7 linked regions of the Cricetulus griseus genome follow. The protein of the gene in region 5 purifies or fractionates together with the protein of the main gene of each other region. This does not show direct contact. Links are inferred from orthologs where the notes say so. Each region holds a gene or a part of one and is shown on either strand. Other genes may lie near its edges. The genes, in order: Hnrnpa2b1, Ilf2, Ddx5, Fus, Igf2bp3, Ybx1 and Trim25.

The links.
Region 1: the proteins of Igf2bp3 (region 5) and Hnrnpa2b1 purify together in Homo sapiens (affinity purification with mass spectrometry; 4 studies listed by BioGRID and IntAct, with this or other methods). This does not show direct contact. The link is inferred for Cricetulus griseus from reciprocal best matches to the Homo sapiens genes IGF2BP3 and HNRNPA2B1.
Region 2: the proteins of Igf2bp3 (region 5) and Ilf2 purify together in Homo sapiens (affinity purification with mass spectrometry; 3 studies listed by BioGRID and IntAct, counting the BioPlex papers as one, with this or other methods). This does not show direct contact. The link is inferred for Cricetulus griseus from reciprocal best matches to the Homo sapiens genes IGF2BP3 and ILF2.
Region 3: the proteins of Igf2bp3 (region 5) and Ddx5 fractionate together in Homo sapiens (co-fractionation; 3 studies listed by BioGRID, with this or other methods). This does not show direct contact. The link is inferred for Cricetulus griseus from reciprocal best matches to the Homo sapiens genes IGF2BP3 and DDX5.
Region 4: the proteins of Igf2bp3 (region 5) and Fus purify together in Homo sapiens (affinity purification with mass spectrometry; 3 studies listed by BioGRID and IntAct, with this or other methods). This does not show direct contact. The link is inferred for Cricetulus griseus from reciprocal best matches to the Homo sapiens genes IGF2BP3 and FUS.
Region 6: the proteins of Igf2bp3 (region 5) and Ybx1 purify together in Homo sapiens (affinity purification with mass spectrometry; 3 studies listed by BioGRID and IntAct, with this or other methods). This does not show direct contact. The link is inferred for Cricetulus griseus from reciprocal best matches to the Homo sapiens genes IGF2BP3 and YBX1.
Region 7: the proteins of Igf2bp3 (region 5) and Trim25 purify together in Homo sapiens (affinity purification with western blotting; 3 studies listed by BioGRID, with this or other methods). This does not show direct contact. The link is inferred for Cricetulus griseus from reciprocal best matches to the Homo sapiens genes IGF2BP3 and TRIM25.

Annotation. Positions count from the first base shown.
Region 1 is NC_048601.1:89,866,113-89,870,154, reverse strand, and holds the start of Hnrnpa2b1 (heterogeneous nuclear ribonucleoproteins A2/B1), read right to left. Parts: upstream 2,801-4,042; 5' UTR 2,587-2,800; coding exon 2,581-2,586; intron 1-2,580. Other genes in the region: translation initiation factor IF-2-like, read right to left, coding at 3,414-4,042. UniProt on the Homo sapiens protein: Heterogeneous nuclear ribonucleoprotein (hnRNP) that associates with nascent pre-mRNAs, packaging them into hnRNP particles.
Region 2 is NW_023276806.1:64,071,091-64,074,590, reverse strand, and holds part of Ilf2 (interleukin enhancer-binding factor 2), read left to right. Parts: intron 1-1,767; coding exon 1,768-1,872; intron 1,873-2,358; coding exon 2,359-2,436; intron 2,437-2,738; coding exon 2,739-2,841; intron 2,842-3,500. UniProt on the Homo sapiens protein: Chromatin-interacting protein that forms a stable heterodimer with interleukin enhancer-binding factor 3/ILF3 and plays a role in several biological processes including transcription, innate immunity or cell growth.
Region 3 is NC_048600.1:119,726,984-119,729,526, forward strand, and holds the end of Ddx5 (probable ATP-dependent RNA helicase DDX5), read right to left. Parts: exon of another isoform or gene 1,629-2,543; coding exon 1,404-1,628; intron 1,212-1,403; coding exon 805-1,211; 3' UTR 501-804; downstream 1-500. UniProt on the Homo sapiens protein: Involved in the alternative regulation of pre-mRNA splicing; its RNA helicase activity is necessary for increasing tau exon 10 inclusion and occurs in a RBM4-dependent manner. Binds to the tau pre-mRNA in the stem-loop region downstream of exon 10.
Region 4 is NC_048596.1:72,806,552-72,810,499, reverse strand, and holds the start of Fus (RNA-binding protein FUS), read left to right. Parts: upstream 1-1,148; 5' UTR 1,149-1,260; coding exon 1,261-1,273; intron 1,274-3,191; coding exon 3,192-3,216; intron 3,217-3,346; coding exon 3,347-3,501; intron 3,502-3,948. UniProt on the Homo sapiens protein: DNA/RNA-binding protein that plays a role in various cellular processes such as transcription regulation, RNA splicing, RNA transport, DNA repair and damage response. Binds to ssRNA containing the consensus sequence 5'-AGGUAA-3'.
Region 5 is NC_048601.1:92,237,672-92,241,171, reverse strand, and holds part of Igf2bp3 (insulin-like growth factor 2 mRNA-binding protein 3), read right to left. Parts: intron 2,897-3,500; coding exon 2,761-2,896; intron 979-2,760; coding exon 853-978; intron 1-852. UniProt on the Homo sapiens protein: RNA-binding factor that may recruit target transcripts to cytoplasmic protein-RNA complexes (mRNPs). This transcript 'caging' into mRNPs allows mRNA transport and transient storage.
Region 6 is NC_048595.1:32,884,212-32,887,711, reverse strand, and holds part of Ybx1 (Y-box-binding protein 1), read right to left. Parts: intron 2,119-3,500; coding exon 2,029-2,118; intron 1,677-2,028; coding exon 1,374-1,676; intron 1,029-1,373; coding exon 946-1,028; intron 1-945. UniProt on the Homo sapiens protein: DNA- and RNA-binding protein involved in various processes, such as translational repression, RNA stabilization, mRNA splicing, DNA repair and transcription regulation.
Region 7 is NC_048600.1:102,138,288-102,142,349, forward strand, and holds the start of Trim25 (E3 ubiquitin/ISG15 ligase TRIM25), read left to right. Parts: upstream 1-1,262; 5' UTR 1,263-1,346; coding exon 1,347-1,931; intron 1,932-4,062.

The sequences.
Region 1 (4,042 bases), about 2.4 Mb from region 5:
GGGGGAAAAAAAAAACTTACATCAAATTTAAACCATATGTTAAACTGCATATTAGTTGTGTTACACCAAAAATTGCCTCAGCTGAACTATGCAAGTTTTAAAGTCACTAATATTTGATCTAACTTTAATTCATATAAATTACCTTAGCTTACACTTTCTTAAAAACCTTTGAGAAAAACCATAACCAACTCTGATTTAAAGGGTATCAAAGAATTCTTATGAAATTCTTTATTAAAGTCTACAACTCAAGCACAGAACTTTGCTCAAACTTATTTTTTTAAATTGAAAAAAAAAAACCCTGAAATTTCGATATCCACTGCTTAATTCAGGATTCAATTTCAGAGTAGTGGCAGATCTGCCTTTCCTTAAACTGCCCCCCCACCCTGGAGTTAGACTAACTATTTCAATGGGGGATCCTTCAACTCTGAAAGAAGTTCCATGAGTAAAGTTGAACACCAGATATACGCACCACCTCAAAATAGTTTTCTTTTAACTTAGCAAAATTTATTCCATCTAATTTTTTGGGAGGCACTCCTTGTCTGGTGTTCAGGCTACAGTACTAAGAAGCACACATTTATCTACAGTTGCTATTGCCCCAACAGTTACTTTACATTTTTTTTGGAGCCTATCCTGGCACTCGCTCTGGAGACCAGGCTGGCCTCGAACTCACAAATATCCGCCTGCCTCTGGGATTAAAGGCGTGCGCCACCAACGCCTGGCTTAACTTTCCTTTTAGTAATTAGTGGCCTTCTGACAAATCTCTCAAAAATTTCCAATAGTAATTTCCTGAAGTAAATACTAAAGTTGTGTTATTACTGACTTATAAATAAAACAGCTTAAAAACCAAGATGCTTATAAACTGGGTAATACTATCCAGGACCTGTCTTGATTGCATAACAAACTGAAAAGACAAAATTCATAACACACAAAAAATTTCCACAACTCTTATTACAACCCAAATCTATTAAGGTTCCTTCAAAAAAAGTCTGTAAAAATTTTGTTCGATGCCCTTTCTCAGGTTCTGAAATTTGGAGAAATTGAGTAGACAAAATAGGTTAAAGATTAAAATAGGACGTGTAAAATACTTAGTATGACTGGAAATCCAAGTTTCCAGGCAATTCTAGATAAATGTCCACAGATGTGCCATCTTTAAATTCAAACTGTAAGCATAAACTTACCATTTTTAATGTCACTAACAAAAAGCAAAAGCTTATTACTTACCTCATAGGTTTTTCCAAACTTACCCGACGTCCACTATCGATTATAAACAAGGTTATTTTATAAACGTGCTTAGGGTCAAAGAATATAACCAAGTAGACCCCTTTAATTTGAAACCTTATGCTTATCAATGTAATAATCAACCATTTGCAAACATAAATCAGAAAAAAGCAAATGACAAAGTTCAAATACATTGTGTCCCAAATAAAAGTTTTTACATAGCTAGGTTCCTGCGTTAATACTGGACTGTTCCATGCTGTAATCAAAGGTGAACTACGAAAAGTTATTTTCTCTTCCCTAACGTGACCATCACGCGTAAAGATCTGTTGTTTTAGGAACAAATCCTGTGGTTCCCTTTAAAATCCTCATAATCTGAATTATTTCAAACATCAGGATCCTTCAGGAAAATAAACATACGCAGCAATAAAAAAATATCCCTCCGCCCAAGATCACCTTCTAACTACAGCTGAGCACTCTGGGCTTCCTTTTACAACTGCAGACTCACAAATCGCTTAATTAAAGGAATTAGGAGCCAGCTCGGGGAAGTAAAATGGTTTCTTTGCTGCAAGGCTGCCTTCAGCAGCAGGCTCAGGCCCGGATCGCACTCCTCGCCCGGGGCCTGCGCCGGGAACCCTTGCGGAGGCCGCCGCCACCCCCACCCGGCCGCGCACACCGTGTGGCTCGGGAGCGCAATGGCGCCATTTCGTCGAGGGGGAAGGAGGGCGGAGCGCCTAAAACGAGGTGCGCAGGACTCCGAGATCAGAGCTCAAAACACCCCAGATCCCCCTCGGAACGCCACCAAAACGGGCCGGGGACAAAGGAAACCAGCTAATGGCTCCCACGCGGGGGGGAAGGGGCCGAACGGGCAGAGCCGCAGAGTGCGGGACGCGAAAAACCGCTGCGAGCAAGGAGACGGGAAAATGGCGGCCGCCAAATCCGGTTCCCGGGGGGGAGGAGGGAGGGAGGGGGAGGGAGCCGCGCAGAGCCGCTCCAGGGGACCCGGTGGCCGCCCGAACGAACGCTCCGCCGCGCACACGCCCCGGGCCCCGGGGCCCGCGCACGGCCCGCGGGGGAACCAGGCCGGCCGGGCTCCCGCGCCCCTGCGGAGGACGAGCCGCTGGCCGCGGCCGGGCCCCATCCCCCACCCGGCTCAGGGAAATGGCGCCGGGCGGCTGAGGGCGGGGAAGGCGTTCGGACAATCGGGCCTCCGCCAACGACCCTCTCAGAGCCCCCGGGCCAACCGCCGCTCGGGCGGCCGCTCTCCCTCCCTCCGCCCGCCCGCCCGCCGCGGCGGTGGCCGGCTTCCACGGCGGCCTCGCCATGCCCTCGCCAACAACAACTCATTGATTTCAAACCCGTTACCTCCATCGCGGACTCAGTCGCTTCAGCCCGATTTCCCGCAGCCGAGCGAGATGAGAAAGACCTCCGCGGACGCACACGCACGGGACTCGTCCTGACGCTGTGGGGGGGGAAGAGCAGCCGCCGCTCGAGAAACCGCGCCGCGGGGGAAAGACCTGCACACAGGACCCGGCGCCGCTGCTACTGCCGCTGGAGCCGGGACCGCCGCTTTTCTAGAACCTTCCCCCCACTAACGCGTCTCCGCCTACGTCAGGCCGTTACGCAAACGTCCTAACCGCCGCCAATGGCGGGAAGGGCCTCGACACGCCTTTTGCGCCGGGTGCGTGCGCCCTCCCCCTCCCGGGATAGCGAGGCCGCGTTACGTCACTTGCGCAACCGCGTTTGGTGAATTGCGGAAGGCTCGCGCGCCCAACGTGTTACTACGTCCGGAGTGAGGTCCGGCCCTCCCCCCCCACACCTCCGCGCAAGGAGCCGGAGAAACGGTCGCGCAGTTTGAAATTAACGCTGCCGGGCGGGGCTTGCGTCGCCGCTCAGGCGTGAGGCCCTCGTCACCCCGGCCGCACTCCCTGCGGCGACGACGCCTTCGCCGATCCTCGCTGCGGGCCTCTCGAGGCGCGCCGGCCTTTGTTTGTTTGTGCCCGTCCCCCAGGGGGGGTGCAGTCCGAGCGCGGCTGCCGCGGCGGCACCCGAGGCCCTGGGACCCCCGCGCCCCGTGAGAGGCGGTGCTCAGAAGCTCCCCAGCCCCGCAGGCCCCGGGGCGAGGAGGTGGGCGGAGCCCGGCTTTGGCGCGCTGGGCTTTGACGCAGAGCGGCCTCGGCGGTCCCGCCCGCCTCCCCTCAGGAGACCCCCAAGGCGCCACGCCGCGGACGGTGAGTGGCGCGCACGCCGCCCCCCGCAGGACGCGTTCCCGGCGGGCCCCGCGCGGCCTGGGCGTGGGCGGTGCCTCCCCTCCCCTCCCCCCCGGCCGAGCCGCCCGCGCCCGCGCCCCGCGCCCGCGCCCCCTCCCCTCGGATGTGGCTGAGCTGAGGCGCGCAGCCGGGAGACTCTGCAGGATCCGCGCCCGGAGCATCTGAGCGGTGAAGTCGGTGCCTTGCTTTTCTGGTCGCGCGTGGCGCAGCGCGGCGCGGCGCGGCGGGGCCGGGGATGCTCCGTGCGCCCGGCTTCCCTGCGGGGAGGCTGCGGGCCCCCGCGCCCCCGCCGTGGGCCCCCGGGACCCGGGGCTGCTGCGGGGAGGAGGCTTGGCGGGGCCTGGCTGAGGCGCCGCCGCGCCGCGCCGCGCCGCGCCGCGCCGCTGCACGGGGAGGACGGCACAGTCGTGCCGAGGGTGGGAGAGCGATGACAGCTGCGGGGCCTCCAGACAAAGCGCGCGGGTCCCCTCCCCCAGCCGCGCCGCGGCCGGCGGGCGCGGATAACGTTAGAGCCGCCGCCGCCGCCGCGAGGCCCCAGGCCCGAGCTGCAGCGCGCT
Region 2 (3,500 bases), on a different chromosome or scaffold from region 5:
ATGTACAGATCCCTGACGACATATTAGGTATGGTGGTATATACCTGTAATCCAAGCACAACTGGAGACCCAGGCAGGAAGATAAGTTTAATGTTAGCATCAGCTACATAGCAAGTTCAGGCCAGCCTATGATACAATAGACCCAGTATCAAAAAAATAACACAACAGAACAACAAGGTAATGAGAACTTGAATTAGGTTCTTCCTATTTATATTTGGACTTGAACATCTGAAGGAGTTAAAAGCCAGTGTTGCAAGCTGGGTGTTAACGTCTGTGAAATGGAGTAGATGGAAAAACAGAATCAAATGCACAATTTTGGGTGGGGGATGAGGGATGCGTGAGTATATTTATGTGTGTACACCATGCACAGGTGTAGTACTGGTTCCAGTGGAGGCTGAAGAGGGAGTCGGATTCCTTGGAACTGAATTCATAGGTGGTTGTGACCCCTATGTGGGTATTCCAAATTGAACCTGGGCCCTCTATAAGTCCAACAAGTGCTTTTAACTGCTGAGCCATCTCTCAAGGCCCCCCTCCTTTTTGGGGGCGCCAAGGTTTCTCTATAGCCTGGGTTGTTCTGCCTGGAACTCTCTGGAGATCAGGCTGACCTTGAACTCATGGAGATCTGTGTCCTCTGGAGTGCTGGGATTAAAGGCGTGGACCACCACCACACCTGATTTCCAGTCCCTATTATTATTTTTTAAGTGATTTTATTTATGTGCATAGTGTTTTGCCTGCATTTGTGTCTGTGTGAGGGTTTCAGATCCTCTGGAACTGGAGTTACAGACTATTGTGAGCTGCCATGTAGATGCCGGAAATTGGACCTAGGTACTCTGGAAGAGCAGTCAGTGCTCTTAACCACTGAGCCATCTCCTCAGCCCTATTTTTTTTTTTTTAAATATTTTATTATGTATACGACATTCTGCTTCCATGTATATCTGCACATTAGAAGAGGGCACCAGATCTCATTACAGATGGTTGTGAGCCACCATGTGGTTGCTGGGAATTGAACTCAGCATCTCTGGAAGAGCCGTCAGTGCTCTTAACCTCTGAGCCATCTCTCCAGCCCATCTCAGCCCTATTTTTATTTATTTAGTTTTTTTTTTTTTTTTTTTTTTTTTTGGTTTTGTGAGACAGGGTTTCTCTGTGTAACAGCTCTGGCTGTCCTGGAACTAGCTTTGTAGACCAGGCTGGCCTTAAACTCACAAAGATCAGTCTGCCTCTGCCTCTGCCTCCCAAATGCCTGCATTAAAGATGTATGCCACTATCACTTGGCCTAATTTTAGCCGGGAGATGGCAGCACATGCCTTTAATTCCAGCACTCGGGAGGCAGAGGCAGGCGGATCTCTGAGTTCAAGGCCAACCTGGTCTACAGAGTGAGTGCCAAGACAATCAGGACTACACAGAGGAAAAATGGTGTCTCAAAAAAACAAGTAGTAGTAGTAAGTGTTTTTATTACATTTGTCATCACATGTACACCACAACAAATGTGTGGAGATCAGAGGACAACTTGCAGGATTTGGTTCTCTGTGTGGGTCCCAGAAACTGATAACCCAGGGCCTTTATTGTCAAACCATCTCACTGGGTCTTGTTTATATATTTTTGAGACCAGGTCTCAGGTAGCCCAGGCTGGTGCTGAACTGTTGATTCTCCTGCCTCTGTCTTCAACGTGCTGAGATTATAAGTATATAACAATTTTTTTTTTCTTTTGAGAATCAGAAAAAATCTGTATATTATTTTTGGTAAATAACAAGTTTAATTTCTGGTTTAGTGTGAAATGGCTTTTCCTCGGGTCAAGCCCGCACCTGATGAAACGTCCTTCAGTGAAGCCTTGCTGAAGAGGAATCAGGACCTTGCCCCCAATTCTGCAGAGCAGGTATGTTCTTTCCTGAGTCTGTGCTAAGGCCTAAAGCATTAAGAGCTGGGCTGGAGAGATGGCTTAGAGATTAAGAGCACTTGCTACTCTTCCAGAGGACCTGGGTTCAGTTGCCAGCACCCACACGACAGCTCACAGCTGTCTTGTAAGTCCAGTTCCAGAAGATCTGATATCATCACATAAACATACATGCAGGCAAAACACCAATGTGCCTGTGAAATACAATTACAAAAAAAAAAAAAAAAAGAGCTAATAAAATGTTGTGTTGCTAGGATTGTAAGCCAGTGGTAGACCGCTTACCTAGCACTCTTGAGGGCTAGGGTTTCATTCCTATCAAGAGTGTTTTCAGAGCTCAAATTCCTCCTGTGTTTAATTATTCATTCCCCCTTCTTACTGTAGGTGGAGAGTCTAGTGATGATACAGATTAAAAATGTTGTTTTGTGTACTTTTTGGCCTTAGGGTATTTTTGCTTTGTGATGTTTTCAGGCTTCTATCCTTTCTTTGGTGACAAAAATAAACAATGTGATTGACAACTTGATTGTGGCTCCAGGGACATTTGAAGTGGTGAGTTTTTGATGAATTAATCCTAAGTAAGGGCACCCTTGGTGGTATGGAAATTTTCTTGTCCTTTGCCTGTCAAATTTCCAGTTGTCTGTTATCCAAATCAAAGCCCCAAATGGAAAAGTACAGGGACATTCTGGAACTCTTCATCCTGAGGATGAGATTTGTATCACTGGTCTAGTCATATGTGGTTGTTTGGGGGATGGGATTTTGTCGTGGCTGCTTCTAAATCTGGGTAGTAAGAAGCTGCTGAAATAGTTCTACCTTTGTTTCTCTAAATGTCCCTAAAATCCCCTTTTCAACAGCAAATTGAAGAAGTCCGACAGGTTGGATCATATAAAAAGGGGACGATGACGACAGGACACAATGTAGCTGACTTGGTGGTGATACTAAAGATCCTGCCAACATGTGAGTGTGTGTGTGTGTGTGCGCGCGCGCGCGCGCGCATCTGGTCTTTCTCTGTCGGGGTGGATCGTGGTGTTGGGCATGTTAGCCTGTCATGGGACGCCTGAGAGCACAGGATCCCTCAGAAGGTTTGAGTTTTCTCTGAGTATCTATGCAGTGGCAAGAGCAGATGGGCTTATAAAAACAGTTAGGTCTGTGTAAGTCAGAATTTAGTAGAGTTCTCAGCCCACCCTTCTTGGTATAGATTTACTTTATCTTTTTTTTATAGATTTGTTATGTATATAGTACTCTGCCTTCATGTATGCCTGCAGGCCAGAAAAGGGCACCAGATCCCATTACAGATGGTTGTGAGCCACCATGTGGTTGCTGGGAATTGAACTCAGGACCTCTGGAAGAGCAGCCAGTGCTCCTAACCACTCAGCCATCTTTCCAGCCCTTTATTTTATTTCTATTAGTGTTATGCTTGTATGAGTGTTATACATTCCATGTACATGCCTGAAGAGGGCTTTGGATCCCTTGGAACTGGAATTATACATGGTATGACCCACCAAATGGCTGTTGGGAACTGAACCCAGGTCTTCTACAAGAGGAAAAAGTACTCTTAACCTCTAAGCCTCCAGCCTACTTTCCTAAACATTGAGGTTAGATTTGGGGCTAATAAT
Region 3 (2,543 bases), on a different chromosome or scaffold from region 5:
GGAGTACTGACTAGCCTACAATCTGAAGACCTTTAAAATGCCCTGAAACAATGTGGAGACATTCCTGACTGCCAGTGTGGCTCTAGGAACCCTGGTGAATGGGTGATGACTAGATTACTTTGTGTGTAAGCTGCACCAAGGACACAGCGCACAGTTCTTGGGCTAACAGTCTTTCAACTTTGTGCATTTTGGTCCAGAATAAAGTATGCCAGCACTTTTTGCAAAATAGAACAGTCACCATGTTATCCCTGATGCTGAAAGCTACTAACAAATTTATAAAAAAAACCCACTGCCCCTCAATTCTTAGAGATAGATCATCTTAAGGGCCTTCTTGATTCTCTCACCTCCTAAATCCTAAATCAAAGAATGGCAAGTAGTCAACTTTAGTTTTTGTGTAAAAAGAAAACACCAAAATGAAAGAAAATCCCCCCGAAACATACTATCTAAGCCAAGTTTTACATGACATCATATATGTAAAATAAAGTACAATTTCCACTTAATTCAGTCTTCAAATATCTTTTATTGGAAGGCCATGCATTGCCTTCATTTATTGTATTTGAAATCACTGTACAGTTACTTTTGTGAAAACACTGCCTGCATTTTCTAGTACAAAAAAAACCTAAAAATTGTTTCAGGAATGTAGAGAAATATCCAACTTAAATAGCGAAAAAAGTGCACCATAATCACTGCTGCACTGCAGTCATTTCTGCATTTCCCATGTTTCTTAAATAACTATCTTGTCTGATAACACACAATATAAAGAGCAATTATGAAAAACAGACATTTACATATACTTCTAAAGTCTTATTGAGAATACCCTGTTGGCATTGGATAGCCAATCATAGGCGCAGCAGCTGCGGTAGCAGGATATGCATATGCCTGTTGGTTCATACCATTGTGCATATTTGCAACATTACTTCCATATTGCTGAGTGCTATCATAACCGTTCTGGTAAGTCCCTGTTGGATTACCAGTCCTAAAACTGGTCTGAATACCAGCAGATACAAAATTACTTCCAAAGCTCCCATTGGTGTAATTTGCAGCACTGTAAACACCATTCTGAGTTTTAGCCCCAAAATCTCTCTTAAGCAGACTAGAGTAACCTCTGTCATAATTTTCCCTGTCTCTAAAGGTATTAAATCCACCCCTTTTGCCCGCAGAGTATCTGTCACGACGATCATCCTTCATGCCTCCTCTACCCCTGGAACGACCTGTCAAGAAAGCAAGCGAGAATGTATCAAATCTATGGCATAAATGTGCTAGAGTTAGGTAGCTCTACTCATGGCAGCCGAAGTGTTCTTTCAGATCTTAGGTTTCAACATAAACTACTTACCCCACCAATCCCACTTAAAAAAGACTTTGTAGACAATGAGGTGACCCCAACTACCTGTAAGATCTCTTACCTGAACCTCTGTCTTCGACCAACTGAAGCAATTTGGGATTAATTGCTTGATTAGCCTCCCGAAGCACAGAGATAAGGTCGCTCACTTGCTTTATGTTATTAGGTGTAAAGAAAGTGTATGCTGTGCCCGTTTTGGTACTGCGAGCAGTTCTTCCAATTCGATGAATATAATCCTCTGAGGAGTTAGGGTAGTCATAATTGATGACAAATTTCACATCTTCCACATCTGTAAGGTGTTGCAGTGTGGCAAAATAGCAATGTACGGAGTTTTGCACACCACAACAGCCAGACCAAAAATAAAAAGTTAGACAATTGTATTCCCAAGAAGGTACGGGCTGCAAAAAATACAGTTAAAATGGTTATCCATTTCCTGTAGGAATACCATTGAGGTAGGAAAAAAAAGAGGGTGGGGGCAGAAAAAAGAAAAAAAAAGCACATGTCAGCTGTATTAAGTTATCACCCGCCCATTGACAGCCTATCAAGGGAATGTGTATTCTCCTTAGCACATTCCCAAATTGGCAAAGTCCCCTTACAGATCATCAAGTGACATCTGAGTGCTTCTGCGCAGTAGGGCCACTTAAAAGTTTCACAGCAACCTCTTCATGTGCTCATTTTTGAGGACCTTTAAGAAAAATGTACAAGGTCCTTTGCATCACACTCATCAGAAGTTCAAAATTCTGGCCACACTGCTTGTCTTGCCAAGACCTTACAACTGCAGCTGCAAGAAAAACATACCTGTCCCCCAAAAGTTGTTTTAATGCACTGTGTCTCGTCTAGGCAAGCGCTTCCAAGAAGCCAGGATTCACTTGAGAATGTGTCTCTCTCTGGCAGGTCTCGACATGACGACTACTGTGTAGGTGAGGGAGGAACTTTTTCAAGGCACTTTCTTTTCCCACTGACTATGTGTGAGAAGTTGACCCTGCTGCTCTAGGTCTCATGTGCCAGTACTCACCAATTTGTAAAAGGCTTAGTACCTTTTAAAGCTGCTCTCTCCATTTCAAACTTGAACAAAAATTTCATTGAACATTGAAGTTTGGAAATATTTCTTCGACATTTCAGCAAACTCACTGAAACTCAAAGACCCACAGATCACAGTGAACAGTTTGAAACAATGCTGTACCATGGCAATCATGCAAAGCAT
Region 4 (3,948 bases), on a different chromosome or scaffold from region 5:
GCCAGTGCTCTTAACCTCTGAGCCATCTCTCCAGCCCCCTTGAATTACATATTTGTCCTTTCCCTTACAAAAAGTACACAGGCTTTTAAATGCTCTAAATCATTTCATGTAGTCAAGAAGCATTTTGTAGTTTCATAGATTTAGATTTTAAACATCAGAAGGTCTGACCCTGAACTGCCTTACACTCAGGGCAAGTTCTTAGTCTTGGGTTTTGAATGCACTCATTAAAATCCCAACCCTACTCACAGGCACCTCTGCCTGGATCGGGCCTGGAGATGTACTCAGGGTCACGCACCGGCTAAGCAATCACTCTATCATTAAGCTACATCCCCAGACTTCATTTGCAGCAGACAGATACATTTATTTTCTTTACAAGATGATGATGGGGAAAACCAGGTCGACTGTTAATACTAGAATGCGTTGCTTTAAGGCAAAGAGGATCATGAATTCGAGGTCAGCTGGGCTGTGCTGAGAGGCAAAAAATAAAAAATAAAAAAGGTGGGAAATTGTGGGTTTCGAAACCACTTAAGCGGTAGACATGTTAGTGTTGAACCAGACTAGGCTATGGGATCCAGGCTAAAGCCCATATTCCTTCAGGTCAAACGTCACAATCTACAAACCTTGGTAAGGTCTAAGGAACAGCAAGCTGGGGCACCGCTAAGTGAAAACCGAGAAAAGGGACAGAGACTGATCATGCTTTCAGGAGAGAATGTGGAGAGCCAGAGCGACCACACTGCGTTTGGCTTAGTTGACCGGCCAGGGCAGGCGGAAGCACGCTCTAGCCAGTGAAAGTGGGGCCCAGCCGAGGGGCCCCGTCAGAGGAATTTCGGTTCCCACACCCGGGGACTCCAGGCCTCGACTACAGTTCTGCGTTCAAGCTCAGGGCCCTGGCACCGCCCATAGCGGGAGGCTGGATCGTACCATTATACCTTTGGAGGGGTAGGAGTGCGGCGAAGCCGGGCCCCGGGGGGAGGGCGGATGAGAGCTAATTATCCTCAAGATGACAGTGCATGCGAGGACATCATTTTCAAGTGAGTTCCCTTTTCTTTTGTCTCTCTGGGTCCTCTACTTCCTCGGGAAGGGGCAGGAACCCGGCCGCGCTCCCCCCTCGCGCCGTCCCACTTGGTACGTCCGCGGGGCGCGTAGGCGGGAGGCGTACTTAAAGTCGGCGCGGGAGGCGGGGCTGCTCAGTCCTCGCGGCGTCCCTTCGCAGTCGTCTGGAACCCTGTTGCTTGGCGGCCTGTGCGCGCGTGCGCGGACATGGCTTCAAACGGTATGTGAGGGCGCGAGGCGGCAATGGCGCGTCCCGGGGAGCCTTCGTTCCCTCCCAGCCAGACTTTTGAGTTTTCGGTGGGCCTGTGGTGGCGTGCGAGTGTGGGCTCCCGCACCTCTGTGGCGGGAAGCGGCGGGAGGAGGGCAGGGGAGGGTGGTGTCGCCATTTTGTTTGGCTCCTGTGGCGGCCTTTGGCGCGGAGTCTGAGGGCTCTCTGGGCCCTTCGACTCGGGGAGGGTGTGGAGAGGGACGCTGCCTGGCGACGTGGAGTGAGGGGAGAGGAAGCGCCAGGTCTCTCTAGCGGCGCCCCACCCCCTCCCTCCCGGCCTGCCGGGCCCCGCTTTGTCGCAGTGCTGCATCCGGGCACTTGGCGCGCGCACGCGCTCCTCTGGCCCCTCCCCCTTTCTCGGCGCGGTTTTTCCCCCTCGCCCGCCTCGAGTTGGTTTGGATTTTTTTTTTTTTTTTTTTTTTTTTTTTTTTGTCGCGAGACCCTCGGCGGAAGACTGCTGGTCCGGTGTTGGCCTCGCCCTGCTCCCCGGGTCCCTCGGGAGGGGGCGGGGCTGTCCTGTTCGCGCCTCCGGGCCGGAGCGAAAACGCTCCCAACTGGCCCGCGTGTCCGTGAGGTTGGGGAAAATGACGAACGGACTCAGGGATCCGGCCTGAGGGCTTTCCCGTTTCTGAATTTAGTTTTCCTGAGGCAGGAAGGAAACCAAAGGAGTCGCCTTCCGAGGCCACACCCTCTTGGCTGTCATTTTTTTTTTTTTTTTTTGCCTCCTGCGGGGGCAGACCCTGGGTTTCCTGCTCGAAGCCGAGCTACTGCTTACCGTCTTTGCTTCTCCATGCGCACGATAGGCGGGAGCACACTCGCTGGGAGCCACAGGTCTTGGAGCCTTGAGGCTACTTAGGGTCAAAGAGCTTTGCTGCCTTGTTTGGCTTTGTACTAAAACTCCCCTTTGCCTTAAGGTCTCCGAGGTTAGTCACAAGGTGAATGGATTTTTTTTTTAAAGGCATTTGTTTGGTGTTGGAGGGTCACAATTCTTCAGACTGCTTGGACTCGAACGGTGTGATAGCTCTGTGACTGTACAAGTTAATCTAATGGACTCCATGTGGTGTGTGTTGCAGGCCTTGGAAAGGCCGAGACGAAAATTTTTAAAGTTCAGGGACCGTCTGTGTTGTATTTTGAGACTTTTTGAAGAAAAAAATTGAACCGGGTGTGGGGGCACATACTGCTTTGATCCCAGGAATAGGGAGGCAGAGACGGGGATTTTTTGAGTCTGCATGGTGAGTTCCACATAGCTTGGTCCACATAGTGAGTTCGGGGGCAGTCAGAGGTATGTAATAGAAACTCCTGTCTCAAAAAAATCCAAAAACAAAAATTTTGACTATAAATACAGAAACAGTCCCATGGCAATGTTTTTAGATAATAGTTATCCACAGAAATATTTGTATGGTGCCTTGGACTGGTGTCACTGGTAGCTAGCTTAGCATGGCCCAGGCCCTGGCTTCTACCCAGAACAAAACAGAAATCTAAGACTTATTGGTGTCTAGGAATTTGTGTCTTTGCTTATTGTATTAAAACTTGTATTCAGTTTGCTTTCCTCACAACTGGTGTTTCATGAAGGACTTAATGCCTGCATGTTTTTGCAATGGCATTTTGTAGATTTAATGTGATCTGGAGTGCCTCGTACCTCTTTTTTTAAAGACAGGGTTTCTTTGTGTAGCCTTGGCTGTCCTGGAACTAGCTCTCCTGTATGTAGATCAGGCTGGCCTGGAACTCAGAAATCCACCTACCTCTGCTGGGATTAAGAGTTTGTCTCATCACCACTCTTCTTAGAGTGCCTAGTACTTAAGTTGAATTTAATTCTATTCCAGTCTTAACTAAAATTAACATGACTTTTTCCCCTTCTCATCTTTTACAGACTATACCCAACAAGCAACTCAAAGGTGAGTGTTGTTTCTGGGCTGGAGTTTGTAGGTGGTAAGGGTGGTCAGTGTAACTTGTGTTGTTTTTGTATGCTTTTTTTCTTTCAATTGAAGATAACTTTTCTGATCCTCTCCCCCTCCCCCCTCCTAGCTATGGGGCCTATCCTACCCAGCCTGGGCAGGGCTACTCCCAACAGAGCAATCAGCCCTATGGCCAGCAGAGTTACAGTGGCTATGGCCAGTCAGCTGACACTTCAGGATATGGCCAGAGCAGCTATGGTTCTTCTTATGGACAGACCCAAAACAGTGAGTCTCTTAGTGGAACAAATCTTCATTCATTTTTCTTCTGAATGTTAGTAATTGTTCTTAAACCTGAACAGTATTGAAAATCTCCTATTTCCCCTTGTCAGTCTGTAATTGTTAATTTCGTGATTAGTCTTTTTAAAACAAAATGGCTTGTAATTGTCTCTTTGTTAGATGATTTCCCCCATATATTCATTTTTGTGGAAAAGCAAGTTTCCTAAAGAGAACCAGTTTTAGGGTGGAAGAAAATGATTTGCTTGAAAATTTTTGAAGTTGGGCCGATACATGTGATTCACAAAGAGATGGTATTTGCCCTTAGATTCACAAGGGCAAAAATACTGTCCATATCAGCACATTAAAATTCAGCTAGTAGTGACCTTTTGTGCCATGATTACTGGCATGGGGAACCTGGATTTGGGATAGATAGAGTAACATGCCAGGTGGTTGGTA
Region 5 (3,500 bases):
CAAACCAACTCATCCTAACACAGGGTTTCCCTGTTCCCTCATAAACTGTCATTTGCCTATGGGCCATGTCTGTCTCCTCTCTATCCAGAGGCAGTCCTTTGTCCCTTGGGGCAAGTATCTCTTTTCCCTTGCTCCTTTTCTCTTTTCTCCTGTCTTTTTCTCTTATTTCCTGCCACTTGCCCCTGTGGGGAAAATAAATCTCCTTTGTCCTGAGAACTTGGTCTTGGTGGCTTAAGCTGACACCATCCTTTCAACCATAACATGAGGAACTGTGTCAAATGGCTGTAGCATCAGGACGGCTGAGAACCACTGTTCTAAGAAAACCAGCCTTGAGCCCAGTACTGAACCAAAAGATAAAACACACTCACCAAACTATTTTTTTATTGTCGAAATGACACATTTGCACAACTCTACCAATCCCCAAAACTTCAGAACAAGCCAGGCTTGTTATTTTGGGGTCCAATTAAAAGTTTCTATTGGAGCTGGAGAGATGGCTCAGCGGTTAAGAGCGCCGACTGCTCTTCCAGAGGTCCTGAGTTCAATTCCCAGCAACCACATGGTGGCTCACAACCATCCATTATGAGATCTGGTGCCCTCTTCTGGTGTGCAGATATACATGGAAGCAGAATGTTGTGTAATAAATAAATAAATAGATAGATAGATAGATAGATAGATAAATAAATCTTAAAAAAAAGAAAAAAGTTTCTATTGACAAGTGCTACAAAGCACAGACGAGCTCCACACAGGTGACACATCATACAGCATACAGTTTGGCATGAACATCACACCATTTAGCTCTGACTGTAGCAGGACTGCGGCATAAGGTCTGATTGCAAGGGCCAGAGTGCTTACCTCAAATTGTGGGTAGGGAGGAGTCATAGTTGAAGGTGGCCCTGAGGTAGGAGGTGGCATCCCTGAAGTGGGTGGGAACAGACCCAAGGCATTCAGATTCAATCCAGGGATCAAATGTGCTTGAAGCTGCAATGGTAAAAAGGTCCCTTAATTTTCAATCAGAAGTATGGAGGGAGTGAGCATTTATAAGTGACAGTATTCATATTGTGACCGCTTGTCTAATAAAGAAAAAACACCACACTAAGACTCCTTTTTGAACACAGCAGGCGTTCCCACAGAACTACAGGTGCTGTTCACACCTCTCAGCATCGTTATATTGAGGATTTGTCTGCCCTGCCTTGATCCTCAAAGGGCAGCAGCTCAGAGCACTTGAGACAGAAAGGCGCTCTGCATTCTGTGGGCCTTCCATGGCCACACCCTGGAGGTCTTACATCAGCTGAAATGTGAGTGAGTGAGGTGTGCTTTCTGGAGTCACAGGTACACAGAACAAGCCTCGTAAAGATCTTCATGCCTCACCCTCTAGTCTAATCCTTCAAAACTCAGGTCTCCTCTTCTTCACACTGCAAGCACACAACTAAGCACACCTTTGGGGTGGATACAGGAGCCATAAAGGGAACACTGTTCCAGTTTAATCCACCCCTCCCCTTTAACATATGTGTGTGGTGTTTTGTTTGCTTGTATATCTGTGCACCGTGTGCATGCAGTGCTCACAGAGGCCAGAAGAGGGCGTGAGATCCTCTGGAGTTGGAATTAAGGATGTTTGTGAGCTGCCCTGTGGGTGCCTGGAATCAAACCCTGATTCCCTTGGAAGAGCAGCTAAATGCTCCTAAGCACTGAGCCATCTCTCCAGCCCTAATTTTATAAGAGTTGAAAAAGGTGGAGAGTAGGACTGAACTGGAGTGTATCTATACCGTTAACAAGGCCTATGGGGGTAGATTAATTCCCAGTCAGCTATGAAACACTTAGATAAGCAGCAATCATGTAAAGATGGCAGGCTACCATGTGGGATAAAGTGACAGCATTCTAGGTTCTTCACAGTCCTTTCCCAGGTTACTGTTTCATAGGACAGGCTCAAATGAAGTCTGCTAAATCATCTCCTCATATTTAAGGAGCACCTTTTTAGAAGACAGACTTTCGAAGTGTTCCGTTGTCAGCACCATTCCACCCATTAAACAGTGGCAGGAATTTGCTTTTGTAGCCTTCACTACATTTGCCACACGAAAATTTCAATTTCCCAGGTTATATGGCCAGCACAGTAAGATTCAAACCTGGGTTTCTGCTTTGTTGAACTATTCTGCAGAGTAGGAGCTGAGGCACGCTAGGCAAGCACTCCAGCACAGACACTACTCTCATCGTCCTGAACCTGGATTATCATGTTTAAGACATGGTCCTTCTAAATCACTCAGGGTGGCCTTGAACTTGCAATCCACCCACCCCAGCCTCCCAAGTTTCTGGGCTTGCTTCACATCGCCTGGCTCTTAAGCCTGTTTTTCTAATGGTAACTTTTCCATGCACGACACTGTAACCCTAAGAAGCATGTAGAACAGGAGACAGCAGCTCTCTGATCTGGAGAAGAAAGCTGCACGTGGCAGGAAATCTAACTAACTCATCTCCCTCCAGTCCTCACATCCTTCCTGCACCAGGGCCTCAAATTAACACAGGGAAGGAGGTAATAAATAACCTTTGGGAGGCATGTACTAATCTCATTCCTCCTGCATCAAGAAGCCAAAGGCTCAAAAGCTATCTAATTTGTCAGAAATCAGAGACAGCTAAGCCCAATGCCCAGGCTTCTGTGTTACCCAGGGTATGTGGGATGGTGCAGACAACTCATTCAAATCACTTCCCACGATAAAGTGAAAGAGCAGCGCAGCAAAAGCCATCTTTTACGTCTCCATCATCAGTACTAACATTCATGGATGCGATGTCATTTTCATAGGACTCCCTGATTTTCTTCATTATCTCCTCCTCAGCCCTGGCACACGTCTCAACATTGCCTTTTACTGTAATGGTGCGCTCCGGGTTGTACAGCGTCAGCTCCTGCAACCTGTGGCGGGAAGAGGAGAAGCGACAAGGACGACAGGAGGAAGGTGGGTGAGTATCATTCAGCCCCAAATGGTACCTGAAACCAGACGACAGAGCCTGTATCTTGAGAATGTGACGGATCAAACCCCAAAGACCCAAGTCCAAGATCTGTAACAACTTCCTTCCCACTCTCTCAATGACAATGACTGGGCACACGGTTGCACTACACTCGTGTTTTAAAACACAGCTTACTCTTTTTTTTTTTTTTTAAAGGTTTTTTGTTTTTATTTAATGTTCATTATCGTGAAGGAATCAGATCCCCTGGAACTGGAGTCACAGACAGTCTCCGAGCTGCCATGTGGGTGCTGGGAATTGAACCTGGGCCCTCTAAAAGATAGGCCAGTGCTCTTAACCACCGAGCCACCTCTCCAGCCCCGTGACTTATTTCTTGACCACTTCATCTCACCCTCTAACATCGAACTGAGGAGAGTGGTCAGAAGGATGTATGATGCTCAGGATGCTCCTTGTCTGGACTGGCCAATTCTAAGCAGAACCAGCTATCTTGTGCACTTGCATTTTCTGCAGTAAGCCAGAGAAATACTTCCCAAAAGCAAATCAGCATTTGT
Region 6 (3,500 bases), on a different chromosome or scaffold from region 5:
GTGGTAAAGTGCTGGGCACTGGTGGCAGATGCCGGAGGCAGAGTTCAATGCCAGTGTGGCTACAGAGGCAGGGACACAGAGAAGCTTGAAAAACCAAAAACCCAAAAAGCTGGGTGGTGATGTTCGTTTGAGTACTAGCACCAAGGACAGAAACCCAGTCTAGCTCAATTAATGAGCTCCAGATCCAGTAAAGACTCAAAAAAACTAAGGTAAATGATTGAGAAAGACACCCAAGGATGACATACACAATACACTCACCGGTGAGTCCTATCTGTCAGATAAGTGGTCTTTGGGTTCAATCCCAAATTTGGGACAGGGTGAGAAACTGGCTGATAATATAAACACTCCATGGATGTGGAGCACTAGCTGTTGCTGCATAGTTATATAACCTCATTGGGTTCTCTAACTCCTAAACCTTCCTCTAAGTCCAGCAGATCCAGCTTTGCACATGAAGCCTTTCCTATTATTCCAATAGCTCCTATTACCTCAAACACCACTACACAGGACTTTCTATTTATTACCCTCACCTTTCTCCCTTCCTAAGTAAGCCATGTTTAGATACTGTCATTTGAAATACTCTTACCTGTTCGGGGACAGAACCATATACAGTAGATTTCAACTATATAAGCTGTGACTATAAAAGCAGTGACAAAGCTGGAAAGAACACATTTCTCAGCCAGGCACTGGTGGCGCAGGCCTTTAATCCCAGCACTCAGGAGGCAAATGCAGGCAGATCTCTGAGTTCCAGGCCAGCCTGGTCTACAGAGCCCAGGACAGGCTCCAAAACAGAGAAACCAAAAAGAAAGAACACATTCTCAAAGACTACTCACTTCAGGAGCACTTCTTATGCATCAGTGAAAGAGAATGAAGTATTAACTCACGATGCTGGAGAGGCCTAACATCTGGCTGAAGAATGCAACAGAAACAGGTTACGATGGACCATACCTGCGGAATCGCGGTCTGTAACCCCGATACATATTCTGTCTCACTGGTCTACCTTGCTCTCCTGCACCCTGGTTGTCAGCACCCTGAAAAGACATCAGAAGACATTAGAAATTAAAGTCTATTGGGTCCACAACAAGAACAAAATCCCAATCTGAAGTTCAAACCAGAAAACACTTTCCTGGCCAAATTCCAATTCCTGAGTACAAGATATCTAATAATTATGATCACACCATACATTAACAAGCTTGGTGGTTTCTTCATAATCAAAAGTGCATTCTGTGGTAACAGGTTAATTTAGGGGAAAATTTCCACGATTAAGTTAAAATAGTCTTTCTCAAAGGCTGTTATAAGGAGTATGTATGGTTGGTGCTCACTCAGCACTAGCCCTGAGACAGCAAAAATGCTGTTGCATACATACTGGCACTTACCTCCATCACTTCTCCTTGCACAGGAGGGTTGGAATACTGTGGTCGACGCCCATAGGGTCTCCGCATGTAGTAAGGTGGGAACCTTCGCCTACGATAGGGCCGGCGTTGTTGGGCTTGCCCTTCAGGAGCGCTTTCCGATCCCTCGTTCTTTTCCCCACTCTCACTATTCTGGTAATTTTGCTGGTAATTGCGTGGAGGACCCCTACGACGTGGATAGCGTCTATAATGGTTACGGTCTGCTGCGTATTTACTGCCTTGAACTGGAACTCCACCAGGGCCTGTAACATTTGCTGCCTCCGCACCCTACAAAAGCCATTATTTATTGACAATAACAAAAGAAATCCAAATATTCAATAAATTTCACTCAAGCTGGGGAGGGGGAAAAAAAAACAAAACAAAAAACCCAAGAGCAAACAAAAAAACGAGGGAGGCTGTCTGCATGGGAAAGGGTGCATAGGAATGACTGCGTCATCAGCTCCTCACTCTTCTGAAGGGACTGTTCTCTAACTGCAGCAGCACGTTAGGCTTGATGCACCTGTGTTCATGTGGTCACCAGAACACATCATCCATCCAATTAGAGCCACCATCCTAATGGATGAAATCTCCAAATTATTTCCATACCGAAGTCAAACCTTTACACAAAAAGCATCCTCACCTTTTCTCCTTCAACAACATCAAACTCCACAGTCTCTCCATCTCCTACACTGCGAAGGTACTTCCTGGGGTTATTCTTCTTTATGGCAGTCTAGTAACATCATTCCAAAAATAGATTAACAGGGGAGAAGAATGTGCTTTTTTCATTTAAAATGTACCAGCGTCAATATCATTTTTAGCTTGGATATATACTTAAAATTTGCTTTATGTAAGACCAAACTGTCAATAATTTAGGAAAGCAGGGACCAATGTTACCTTACCCCCAACCTCTACCAAGAGACTCCAATCTTACAAGGCCCCAGCATTTTACCACTATTTACAAAACTAAGTAATTTAGTACCCAAGACAGACAACAATGTGTTTTAATATACTTTTTGCAAAAGCATCACATATAAAGCTTGGAACAAAATAAGGCCTCCATCTATCCCCCAAAGACTGCACTTAATAGAAGCTAGCCCGACACACGGCCAGTTTAGATGACAGGCAAGTTTAGTTTTACATGCTTCAACTTTGACCATACCAACTCTTGTCCCTTTACCATATCAAACTCAATTACAAATGTCAAGCAAAATCCCTTCCAGCCTGTCTATAATGACTACTTCCAGGGAAATGCATTTCACATGTATCTATGCCACTCGTATATATCTCTCTCTGTAAGAGACCTGTTGGTTACCACCTCCCCAGAAAACAGTTAAGTCTTACATTATATAGGGCTTAAAAATTATGAAGTGCCAAAGGTCACACAGCTATTAAGTGGCAGGGAACTTTTCTAAATCCAGGTCTTAGGACTCCAAATCCCAAGTTCATTCCACATCACAGCAGTATCCGTTACAGGATCACTCATGCATTTCTATTCCAGAGGAGGCCGGACAACCAACAAATCTGAGGCCAATTAAGATCCGGTGCCCAGAACTGCAGTCTACTTGATACACCACCACAACCTCGTAGCCAAAGTCCCAAGAACAACTCTATGTTGATACCACTTGCAAAATAAATAGGAAAGCATATTGGTGACACCTTATGGGATAAGACTGGGTGAGTTGAGTCAAATAAATGATCTCATCTGTCATCTGAACTGTCGTATAGTTTCATACCTTTCATATGTAGCCAACTCAATTATTTGCAGTCATAGGGATAGTAGAAGTATGCATTAAAATCCCCAAACATGTTAGTCACCATCTTTAGCCCCTTCCAATCTCTCATGGCTATCAGTGGCAGCAAGACTAATAACCCTTGCTGTTTCTTGTCTGTTAAATCTTCATTTTATTTCCAACTTGTAGTAAGTACAGGTAAGAGTCACCTTACCCAAACAAGCATTTTAATTTAATCTTTGCTAGGTCTTTTGGTCTCCCCCCAATTAAAAAAAAAAAGAAATAAAGGGGGGAAAAAAAGGTTGAAAATTCTTAAAATAACTTTCAACACAAGTGGATATTTCAACAAGTTGATCACGTGGAAGCACACAGGAAGTGAAGT
Region 7 (4,062 bases), on a different chromosome or scaffold from region 5:
TTTGTTATCTTTGCCTTCTCTTTTTAATTTCGATCTCACTTCAGAACCTGGAAAGTGGACTTGAGGAGTTTACTGGGTCTCTTTGTGGCCACAGCGAATAAATCTTTTCCTGCTGTCCTCTTTTAATTTGTCTCTTTTAATTGTTTTTGAGGACGGGTCGCTGGAGCAAGGGTGTGATGCCTCACTTTTGTGATAATAATCATGTACCATCAATAAACGAAATTGCCAAATCTGAGTGTGTGACTATGGACCCTGCCTTTAGGGCTTGCCTGGTGATAAGTCAGAGCCCAGGACCAGGGAAGAAGTGGGAACTGAACAAGAAAGAAAGGAGAAAGGAAAGCAGAAAGGAAGGAAAGAGCAGTCACTTACTGCCCATATAATTGTGTTTTGCTGTTTTTGTTTTCCTTAAATTATTTATTATGTATTTGGTGTGTGTGTGTGTGTGGTGGGGAGGTAGGTAGAAGACGATTTCATGGAGTCTTTTTCTTTTTCTTTTCTTCTTTTGGAGACATGGTTTCTCTGTGTGGGTTTCCCTGTATAGCTTTACAGGCTGACCTCGAACTCACAGAGATCCACCTGAGTCTGCCTCCCTAGTGCTGGGATTAAAGGCGTGCGCCACCAAAGCCGGGCTAATTTCATGGAGTCTTAACCAGGGTTTCAGTAATTGAATTTAGGCCCCGCGGTCTTATATTTGCAAGTTCTCCCACCCAGACATCTTCTCAACCTGTTTTAGATGTTGAGACAGTCACTCACTCACTGTGTAGCCTAGGCTGGCATCAACTCGTGGCAATTCTCCTGCTTCAGCATTCCAAGTGACGGGAATTACAGGCGTGAGCCATTGCGCTCTGTGTCTACAGTATTCTGTTCTGTTTTTGCTTTGATTTTAATGAGGATAATAAGACCCTTCTTGTTCTGGAGGGGCGGTTGGGACACCTAGGGCACGGATGAATCTTCTCCAAAGCAGTGCTGCACTCAGGTAGGACGTAGGCCCCAACTGGGGGAATAGAAATACCCCTACTCTTGCGACAGTTCATCTGCGGAGTGGCCCTGAAACGGTAACTGGTGGTCATGCGGAGTGGCCCTGAAACGGTAACTGGTGGTCATGCGGAGGTCGCTCCGGCCCGCGGGGGTTGGGGAACCATCAGAACTCTGCTTGTCGTCCCACCTCCAGCTTCCAGCACTAGCTCAGAGGCCCGTCATCCCCCTCCCAGGACCCACGTGACTTCCTGAAAGCCCAGGGCGCCGCCCCTCCTGTCCAGTTTCGATTCCTTCGCCGCTTGCAGAGCACCGCGCGGTGGTGTTTGCCATTGTCCCTGTGCGTCCCGTCGGGTGCCCCCAGGAGCGCGATGGCTGAGCTGTTTCCTCTGGCCGAGGAGCTGTCGTGCTCCATTTGCTTGGAGCCCTTCAAGGAGCCCGTCACCACCCCGTGCGGCCACAATTTCTGCAGGTCGTGTCTGGATGAGACGTGGGAAGTCCAGGGCCCGCCGTACCGGTGTCCGCAGTGCCGCACGGTGTACCAGGTGCGCCCGCAGCTGCACAAGAACACGGTGCTGTGCGCGGTGGTAGAGCAGTTTCTGCAAGCAGAGCAGGCACGGACGCCGGTGGACGACTGGATCCCCCCTGCCCGCTCCGCTACAGCCACCGAGGTGGCCTGTGACCATTGCCTGAAGGAGGTCGCGGTGAAGACGTGCCTCGTGTGTATGGCCTCTTTCTGCCAGGAGCACTTGAGACCGCACTTCGACAGTCCCGCCTTCCTGGACCACCCCCTGCAGCCGCCCGTCCGTGACCTGCTGCGCCGCAAATGTCCCCAACATAACCGCCTTCGGGAATTGTTTTGCCCCGAACATGGCGAGTGCATTTGCCATATCTGCCTGGTAGAGCACAAGACCTGCTCCCCTACACTCCTAAGCCAGGCCAGCGCCGACTTGGAGGTAGGGAATGGCTGCTGAGGGTATAGAGGACATCCCGGGTCAGCTGAATTGTAGAGAGGGCCCACCCTGAGTATCTTGTCCAGTGGCTTGCTGGAGGAGATAGGCTTTACCGGGCCAGAGATCCACCCCTTAACAGAACCTCATGGCCCTAGGCTCCAAAGGCCACTGTCTGTGAGTTGGACAGTGTGGTGTGTGTGTGGGTGTGTGTTTTGGGGGGCGGTATCCCCACTGACCAAGCAGAAAGCAGGAAGATTATATAGCTCCCCCTCTTGCCCATTGCCTTCTTTCCCCAACTCTCTCATGTCTATTTTACGTAGCAAACAGCCGAAGGCACGGCTTAAGGGAGCCTGCCCCCAAGCCAGCGTTTGTACGATGGTGTTTAGTAGTTTTGAATATTGACTATGAACCCTGGGGGTTACGTCTCCCAGATCCTGGCAGCATGCAAGAACTGTGCACTCTTAGTTCTTTCCACAGTTCAGGAAAAGAGGCCCAGAGACGTTAGCTTAGCAACGCTGATGCAGTCATTAAGTCCAAACCGTCAGAGCTGGGAACCATGCTGCTTTGACTCACAGTTCTGGTTTCTTGTTCCTCTGTAGACCATGTCTGCTGAGTCCAGAGCAGGGAGCGTTCTTGGAGGTTTGTAAGCAGAAGCCTGTGTTGATCCGGAGAGTTCTAATGGACAGGGAGGGTGGGCAGAGCCCCAGGAATTCCTGCATATGACCTTCAAAGATAACCAGTACTGTTGCACCATGGTGTAGTCCATCTTTTTCTTCCTTCCTCTCTCTCTCTCCCTTCCTCCCTTCCTTCCTTCCCTCCTTCCTTCCCTCCCTCCCTCCTTTCCTCCTTCCCTCTCTTCCTTCTTTTCATTTTGAGACAGGGTCTCACTATGCAGTTAGTCCTGGGTGTCCTGGAACTCATAATGTAGACCAGGCAGGCTTCTAACTCACAGAAATCCCACCTGCCTCTGCTTCCCAAATGCTGGGACTAAAGGCATGTTCCACCACACCTGGCTAGTGTAGTCATTCTTGCTGTGTGAAACTGAGCAAGGATTTAGCCTCCCCACCTAGGTCCACCTTGATAAAGACAGGAGGGGAGAGAGAGGTCAGAGTTCCTGAGGACCTTCCAGGGTTGCAATGATTTTAGGAGCTTTAGGTTTGGAGGCTCCTGTCTTCTCCCAGTGGACTCGGCAGAAGCTGCCCCTCTGCCACATTTGTCGAAGTGTGGCCTGATCTCATTTCACTATCAAATGTCTGGGAAGTTGAGGCCTGTCCCAATGTTGTGAAAGGAATCATAAGTCTGGGTGAGGTTGGCAGGCTTTGCAATCGATGCCAGGAATGGGATCCCAACTCTGCTCCCTCTTACCACAGCCCTTCCCTGACCTTGCCTGGGTCTTAGCCAGGTTCCTCAGGTTGCCACCCCGACCCCCCAATTGTGGCAGTTGATCTCAAAGGTTTATCTTTTGAGTTCACCTCTGCTGTACACCCCATGAGGGTATGGACACCTCCGATTGTATCTGTTCTAGAAGAAAGTCTGCCCAGCCTTTGGAGCCTGGGGCACTGCTTTGCTCCCACAGAGCTGTTTGGCTTAATGCAAGTCACTGCAGATCTCTGGGTAGGTTGGGCCTCCTGGGAAGTGTTTTGGAGTCAGGATCTCATGATAGAAGGCCTGGAGCTTATGAGGGAGGCTCCTACTAGATTCAGTGCTAAGATATGGGTTTAAATCCTGATCCCTCTTGTAGCTTCTAGATGCAAAATGATAAAATGGGGTACACAATGGTTACAGGTTATAGTGAACAGGGGGCGAAGCTGGTGTGGTGGGTGACTCATGCCTGTAATTCCAGTGCTTGGGAAGCTCAGACAGGGAGATCACCATGAGTCTGAGGACAGCCTGGAGCTACATAGTTTTAGGTCAGCTCCAGGGTGAAAGTCTGTCTCAAAACAACAAATGGCCGTCGAGATGGCTCAGCTGGTAAAGGCACTTGATACCAAGGCTACCACCTGAGTTTGATCCCTGGGTTGGAAAGAGAACCAACTCCAACAAGTTGTCCTTTGACTTGATATCCATATGCACGTGGTCTTGGATGTGTGTGGATGGACACACACACAATAAATGTAATAAAAATTACGGAAAA